Linked DNA regions of Tribolium castaneum. The protein of the gene in region 1 purifies or fractionates together with the protein of each later gene. This does not show direct contact. Links are inferred from orthologs where the notes say so. Each region holds a gene or a part of one and is shown in the gene's direction. Other genes may lie near its edges.

Evidence for each region. The genes of interacting proteins can lie anywhere in the genome.
Region 2: the proteins of Sgsh (region 1) and formylglycine-generating enzyme purify together in Homo sapiens (co-immunoprecipitation; 3 studies listed by BioGRID and IntAct, with this or other methods). This does not show direct contact. The link is inferred for Tribolium castaneum from reciprocal best matches to the Homo sapiens genes SGSH and SUMF1.

What each region holds. Positions count from the first base shown.
Region 1 is NC_087399.1:3,387,560-3,392,000, reverse strand, and holds Sgsh (N-sulphoglucosamine sulphohydrolase), read left to right. Parts: upstream 1-1,617; 5' UTR 1,618-1,646; coding exon 1,647-1,737; intron 1,738-2,149; coding exon 2,150-2,279; intron 2,280-2,502; coding exon 2,503-2,790; intron 2,791-2,834; coding exon 2,835-3,382; intron 3,383-3,432; coding exon 3,433-3,605; intron 3,606-3,650; coding exon 3,651-3,941; 3' UTR 3,942-4,006; downstream 4,007-4,441. Other genes in the region: methylglutaconyl-CoA hydratase, mitochondrial, read left to right, coding at 1-212, 257-858; Pmm2 (phosphomannomutase), read right to left, coding at 871-1,617. UniProt on the Homo sapiens protein: Catalyzes a step in lysosomal heparan sulfate degradation.
Region 2 is NC_087398.1:15,119,909-15,123,125, reverse strand, and holds the end of formylglycine-generating enzyme, read left to right. Parts: coding exon 1-180; intron 181-2,328; exon of another isoform or gene 2,329-2,392; coding exon 2,393-2,533; 3' UTR 2,534-2,636; downstream 2,637-3,217. Other genes in the region: traB domain-containing protein, read right to left, coding at 2,741-3,042.

The sequences.
Region 1 (4,441 bases):
ACTATCGCAAGTCGCCCAAGACCTGACCTACACGCAACTGCAAGGATCTGACACCGGAATAACCGTTTTCGGTTTTAACCGCCCCAAACAAAAGAACGCCTTAAGTGCCAACCTAGTAACCGAATTACAGAAATCTCTCCAGAAAATCACATTCGACCCCTCGGCCCGCGTATTAATAGTGCGAAGCCACGTCCCGGGGGTCTTCTGTGCCGGTATAACTCCAAAGCTGGAAGCCCCCCTTTAATATTTTTTCCAGGAGCGGATCTTAAAGAACGCGCAACGATGCCTCAAGCGGAAGTCGGTAAATTCGTCTCAAACCTGCGAAGTCTCATGGACCAGTTCCACAACCTCCCTATCCCCGTCATAGCCGCCTTGGATGGCGTTGCTTTGGGGGGAGGTCTGGAGATATCCCTGGCTTGTGACATTCGGGTCGCTTCAAGTGACTGTAAAATGGGGCTAGTTGAGGGCAAATTGGCCATAATACCGGGGGCCGGAGGCACCCAAAGACTCCCCCGGCTTATCAACCCCTCAATCGCCAAGGAATTGATATACACGGCACGAACAATCGACGGTGGTACCGCCCACCGATTGGGTGTTGTCAACCACGTGGTGTCACAAAACGCCAATCAGGACGCAGCTTATTTGAAATCACTGGAGTTGGCGCGCGAAATATTACCGAATGGACCTGTGGCGGTCCAAATGGCCAAAAAGGCCATCAATAAGGGGGTTCAAGTCGACTTAAGTTCGGGATTAGCGATCGAGGAGGCGTGCTATGCTCAGCTGATACCGACCAAGGACAGGATAGAGGGACTACAGGCGTTCAAGGAGAAGCGAAAACCGAATTATATTGGCGAATGATTAAAAAAAAAATTAAAGATCAAATAATTTTTCAAGTTGCTTTCTTGTATCATCCGGGTCTGAGACCTTGTGGCCTATGACTCTCGGGTCATTGTAGATTTCGTAGTCGTTGCCCCCTTCGTCCGTCTTGTCCCCAAAGAAGTGAATCTCGTCAAAGCCCTCGCTTTGGACGTGGCGCAGGCAGTACGTCTTGTCCCACCCTTTAGGGAAGGCGTCGAAGCTGATTTGCCCCCCGATTGCGTACGTGAGCCCTATATCGGGGAATTTCTTCCTGAGGGCCTCAATCATCGTCTGTCTTATGCAAAACTCCTTATCATATTTCTCGAAACTTTCGCGCTCTTCCTGGGAGCAGGAGCGCCCGACTGGCGAGATATTGAGCATCCCGGCCCTGAACTCGACAAAGTTGCCCCGTTTGACCGGCAGGACCACCGTCGATAAGTAGCTCAGGACGTAGTTTATGAACATTTGAAGCTTATCCTCACCCATGAACTTCTGGATGCTTTGCCGCCCAACCTCCTTCCCGAATTTATACTGCACGAGCCCATTTTCCGGGAAGACGTAGTCGAATCTGAAAATGACGTCCTCGCCGTTCATTTGCTCGGCGATTTTCTTGAAATCGGAGCCCCCGACCAGGCCGAGGGTGCACAAGGGCTTGATTTTGGTTTGGATGAATTCGTCGAATTCGGGGTCGATTGCTTGGCGGGGTTTTGTGAGGGTGCCGTCCATGTCGAATAAACACAAAATTTTCTTTGGTGGCATGTTTGAATTTGGCTCCGTTGTGTGGAAAGATGGGGAAAACCGGTTTGCTTGTTCTACTAGTGATTTGGGCACGAGTTGGGGCTGAAAATGGCAAACAATTAAATGTGCTGCTGATTTTGGGTGAGTTTTGGGATTGTTTACCTTTTTAATGAAGATGGACACGTCACTGGGTTTTAAATGATGCAATTTTGCCAAATGTCAAAAAGTCAGGTTAGGGGCCGACACACCGGGGAAAAAAACACAATTGCTTTATTAAACTTTGCTATTTATTAAATCGGGCGTTTTTGCACCATTGTCTTTTTTTGAAATGTAATAAATATTCGTAAATCCGGCGATTTTTACATTTTTTGTTGACATGTCAAATGTAGGTTAGAAACACAGGGGCGGCGCATTTTTTTTCGATTTTTTTATTTATTAAAAAAATTAGAACAAACAGAATGCTGAGACTAGCGTTACGTTAATCACGATAATTATAAAAATGGCTACTTTGCAATAAAGAATTTGTAAAACCAGTGGCGGTTCGTCATTTCAGCCGACGATGGCGGCTTCGAAATGGGGGCTTACAGGAACAAAATCTGCCAAACGCCCAATTTGGACGCCTTGGCCAAAAACAGCCTAATTTTCAATAATGCCTACACCTCGGTCAGTAGTTGTTCGCCCAGGTAAACCCAAAACTACGGATAACTATGAGTTAGGATACGAAACGTCATACAAATAAATGTTCCCGTCTTCGATAGTTCCATTAATGTCGCCAGAGAGCGCAGTTGTTAACAAAACAATACAGGCAGATATTTTCCCAATAGTAAGAGATAATCATAAAAATTTGTATCTCGTTTCGTCTCCTATCCCAAAACTTGGCAAATTCGAGCAGTCACATTCTTACAGCCGCTCGGCCCTACTTACCGGCATGCCGGCCCATCAGAATGGCATGTACGGCCTCCACCAGGCCGAAAACCACTTCGATTCCTTCACAAACGTGAAAAGTTTGCCGAACATTTTGCGCGAAAACGGCATTCGCACCGGAATTATCGGTAAAAAACACGTGGGCCCCAAAAATACGTATCGTTTTGATTACGAGCAGACTGAGGAGAATAATTCAATCCTGCAAGTTGGGCGAAATATCACTTTGATTAAATTGCTGGCCAGAGAGTTCCTCAACAATTCCACGGACAAGTAATTAGCACGTGCCCATGGCCAGTCAAAACCTGGAATTTTAGGCCATTTTTCCTCTATGTTGCGTTCCATGACCCCCATCGTTGCGGGCACACGCACCCGGAATACGGCCAGTTCTGCCAACGGTTCGGCAACGGGGACGTGGGCATGGGTCTGATCCCGGACTGGCGCCCAATTTATTACCAATGGGACGAACTTGAGCTACCTTATTATATTCCCGATACGGAGGCGGCGAGGCGTGAAGTGGCCAATCAATACACGACAATCTCGAGATTGGATCAAGGCGTTGGTTTAATTTTGGAAGAATTGGAAAAATCAGGTCACGCTGATGATACTCTTGTGATTTACAGTTCGGATAATGGGACCCCATTTCCGAACGGACGCACGAATTTATACGATTCGGGGATTGCCGAACCCATGTTTATTTCCTCGCCTTTGCACAAGGAAAGGCACAATCAGGTCACCTACTCCTTGACCAGCCTCCTAGATATTGTACCAACTGTCCTTGATTGGTTCAATATCACAGAGGAGAGCAACGAAATCAATAGTAAAAAACTGACCGGGAAAAGCTTATTGCCACTTCTAGTTAAAGGTTTTGATGTCTTGTGTCGTAACATTTTTATGGTTCAATGGCAATTCTAGAGCCGGAAAATACAACAAACGAGGCGATTTTCGCGAGTCATAATCTCCATGAAGTAACGATGTATTACCCAATGAGGATGATCAGAACCCACCGCTATAAATTGATTCATAATTTGAATTACCAAGCGCCGTTCCCGATCGATCAGGACTTTTACTTATCGCCAACATTCCAAGTGAGTAATGTTATCGCAAAACTCGCCTTGAATTTATCATTGAAGGATATTTTGAACCGCACCAGAAACAAGGAAAATCTGTACTGGTTTAAGACCCTGAGACAGTACTACAACCGGCCCGAGTGGGAACTGTACGACTTGAAACACGACCCCGTGGAACTAAACAATCTGGCTGGAAAGAGCGACTACAAAGACATCATGCAGGAGCTGGAGAAACGACTTTCCGAGTGGCAAAACGCCACAAGTGACCCGTGGATTTGCTCCCCACATTCAGTCTTGGAAAATAAGGGTGACTATGCACACAACCCCCAATGCATGCCCCTGTACAACACGTAAACACAAAAATATATTTATTGTCACATATTCTAAACAAATGCGTATATAAAACATCTACGTTTGCATATGGCGACTTATTCCCTAATTAACTAATCACACGCAACATTTTAATAAATTAGTCAACAACGGCTAGACTTCTCCAGTGATAACACAAATTAAAAACAAAAGCGATAAGTGTGAATTGACCAAGCGCTTGCGTTAGAATATTTTACGGAAATTACCATCACCTCGTTTTAATTTTTTTTAATCTGCCCCTAAGCGTCCTCCGTTTCACAGTCTTTTCCAACTTGCTAACTAGAACCGAAGTGGTGTTCGCGACCGCTTCGACACTGTGCATAGTTTCTGCGATTTCAGTCATCTGCAAAATTGGGTTTAATTGCGTCCAAGGCCGCTGATTGACTCACTCTCTCGTGGATCTCTTGTATCCGTAAATGCTTCTGGTGGTTGTTATACAATACCTTAAATTGTAACATAAAACCCGCGGACAAAATCAACACACA
Region 2 (3,217 bases), on another chromosome or scaffold:
ACACCTAAAGGCGAACACTGGGCCAATATCTGGCAAGGAGACTTTCCCTTAACAAACACTGCAGAGGATGGCTACTTATCCACGGCCCCAGTTGATAGTTTTCCCGCCAACAAATTCGGACTTCACCATATGGCAGGGAACGTCTGGGAATGGACTCAGGATAATTGGTTGAATGACCCTGTATGTTCGTTTTTACCGGGTGATTAGTTTCAATCCGGAACACTATGTATAATAAATATGATTATTCTTGATTATAATTTGCTTAATACTCCCAATGGCAACGTTACCTTAGAAATGAAAATATGTGTGGTGTTTGGGACTGAAATTGATCACCCGGTATAGTATTTCCTGCCTACGGGGAACTATACACTAGGAGACAAAACGAGACACAAAATCGCATCAAAAAAATGTCATTTTGTAATTCATTTTTCAGTAACTACTTTTAAAAAAATGCGCCTTGTCCCACATTTTTCAAAACATTGTAAATACATTTTTCTTGTAAAGATATCTGCACTCTCTGGCGACATTAACGGAACTATCGAGGAGCGTTTTAATATTTGTATGTCGTTTTGTATACTAATCTATAAAAATCCGTATTTCAGCCATAGATTAATACACTTTCTTAAATATCCACAGGAAATATACCTTTTAGCGGGGTGTGTTTAGTGCGTACTGTTAGGTACAAGAGCTCTTAAACCTTCCATGAAAATTTGTAAATTATTCCCGTTTACCTACTTACATTTCTTTGACGTTTCTGTATACTCTAAAATCACTTAATTCGTGAACAAAATAACTGAAAACAAAAGGAAACTTAAAATTTAACTGTGTAGAATAATAAGCAGCATACGAAAAATCAGTATTTTTCAACAAAAAAGTAATTTTGCATTAGGTACATAACACACTACAAATGTTTTTGTTATTTTCTATGTTATTTTTAGACAAATGATGCATAGTATTGTTATATGCAAAAAATATGTAAAAGTATGAATACTGGTAGAAAAAGTTGATGATTTTACATATTATGGTGTTTGCTTTTCAAGATAATAATTTTTGAAGAAATTTAATTTCTTATTGTGCGCCATATAAAAAATTGCTTTGCCTACACCAGTGGTTCATAGCTTTTTTCCCTAACCTGACTCGACTTGACTTGACCTAACTTAACCTAGCCTAACAAGTCTCTATCTTACGGACGCTGTAAGCGTTTGATTTTTGTTTAAAAATTGTGAAATTCCATTTACTAATTTTGTTTGTTTTCCATATACAATTTTAGAATTTTCTGCTTAGATAAAAAAACTTAGCAAAATAGGCAAAAGTTTACTTTATTATTTTTTTTTTTTAAACAGATTGAATTAAATAAGACGAAATTCTCATTTTTGCATAAATTGAGACATTTAATTTAAAATACAAATTTTGGACTTAATGTTTTCGTGATTTCTGTATCGTAATAGTATATTAAAAAAAAGTTTTATAAGGGTTGATTTGGAGCATGAATCCCAAGTTAGGATGAGTGCGCCAAAACCTTTATAAAACGAATATTTTATGCAATTTTTTATACTTTTCTTATTTTAATTAAAAAAAAAAAATTGGCGTTTAGGGAATTTTGTGTCAGTTGGTAACAGTAATAAATAATAGATAATAAATAAAGAAGAAATGATGATTAAATCGATCGATCCACGCATTATCGATGAATCTTTTGAAAACTAAAAATCCCTAAATTCATTAAACAACTCTGTACTTTAATGAGCCATAAACGACTCCTACTGATAGACGTTAATAAATATTATTATATTATTTTAATAAGATAATTTATTTGGTGATATCTGGCACTAATTTAAAAAGAAAAGACTAATTGATTGCTATGAAAAAAAATACGAGCTATTCTCATTTAAAAATTAGTTAAACCCAATAGAAGCTAACAAATTAAAATTCAAACATTTTTGCAACTTTCTGTATCATTTAAAATAGCACCAAAGTAAGAATATCCGAAAAATAATGTAGGTTTGTGAACACTGGTTATTTTTTAACTTCTTGGAAAAAATCGGCGCGTAGATTTGTTTTTAGTCATTAAAGATATTAATATGATGGAACATTTGAATAGTTATTTACGAAATTAGTTATGAAGTTATCGATTTTGTTTAAGAGCATAATGTTTGCCAAAACGAGTGAGCGCAGCAAATTGTGCTAGTTAAAAAGTAGTAGTTTTTCAACTAAACACTGTAATTTTTCGAAACGTAAGATGAAACACTTTAAAGGAAAAACTATAATTGGTCTGGTATACTTTTATCAAGGAGTGTATAACTTGTTTTTCACTAATTAACTACTGACTGCTAATATTATGCCAAAACTTTATTTCAACCAATAACAAAACATATAATTAAGAATAACATTTCAGGACGCCAAAGTGAAGAAAGGGGGCTCCTACCTCTGTCATGAGTCTTACTGTTGGAGGTATCGCTGCGCTGCAAGATCTTTCAATACCAAAGACAGTTCGGCCGGAAATTTAGGCTTTCGATGTGCCGGTGATGTCAAATAATTTGGCAGTGAATAACAAACAAACCCAAGTACTTAAATCATCCTGCCATCAAGTCTTCCAAGTTATATGATATTTTAGAAATATATTATGATTTAAATAACAATCTCTTTGAACTACACCTTAACCTACCATTAAAAAAATATACAACGGAATGTTTGACTTAGAATTAGAAAAGCAACAATTTTAAGCTTAAAACAATTTTAAAATTCAATGTAAGGCATACTTAAAATTAGAGTTACCCTTAACACTGGTTAAAATGTGCTGAATAACCAAATGCGAATTCTCTTTGAGCATTTTAGGAACTGGCACAAACTTGTACACCAGATAACCGCCAAAAGTTAGCAACGAAACCCGAAAAGTGAGTCTCACCACTTTGGAGGTGAGTGAAGGTGGTGGCACTTGTAAAATTTCAGCAATGAAGGGTTTCTGGTCTTTGGGCCACAATTTCGTTATTCCAGGGACATGACCTATCCCCACCACACCCACAATCCTGATGGGCTCATCACCACCTACAAAATGCCAAATAAATTTCTGGCCATGAAAGTGACCTATAACTTTGAGAAATTAAGTTGGCAATATTGATTTTTGCTAAAAATTACATTTCATCGTTTAAAAATTTAATATTTAATGTCCAGTTTATATAAAATGCTCAATTAAAATTTAATGCGCCATTAAAATTTAATT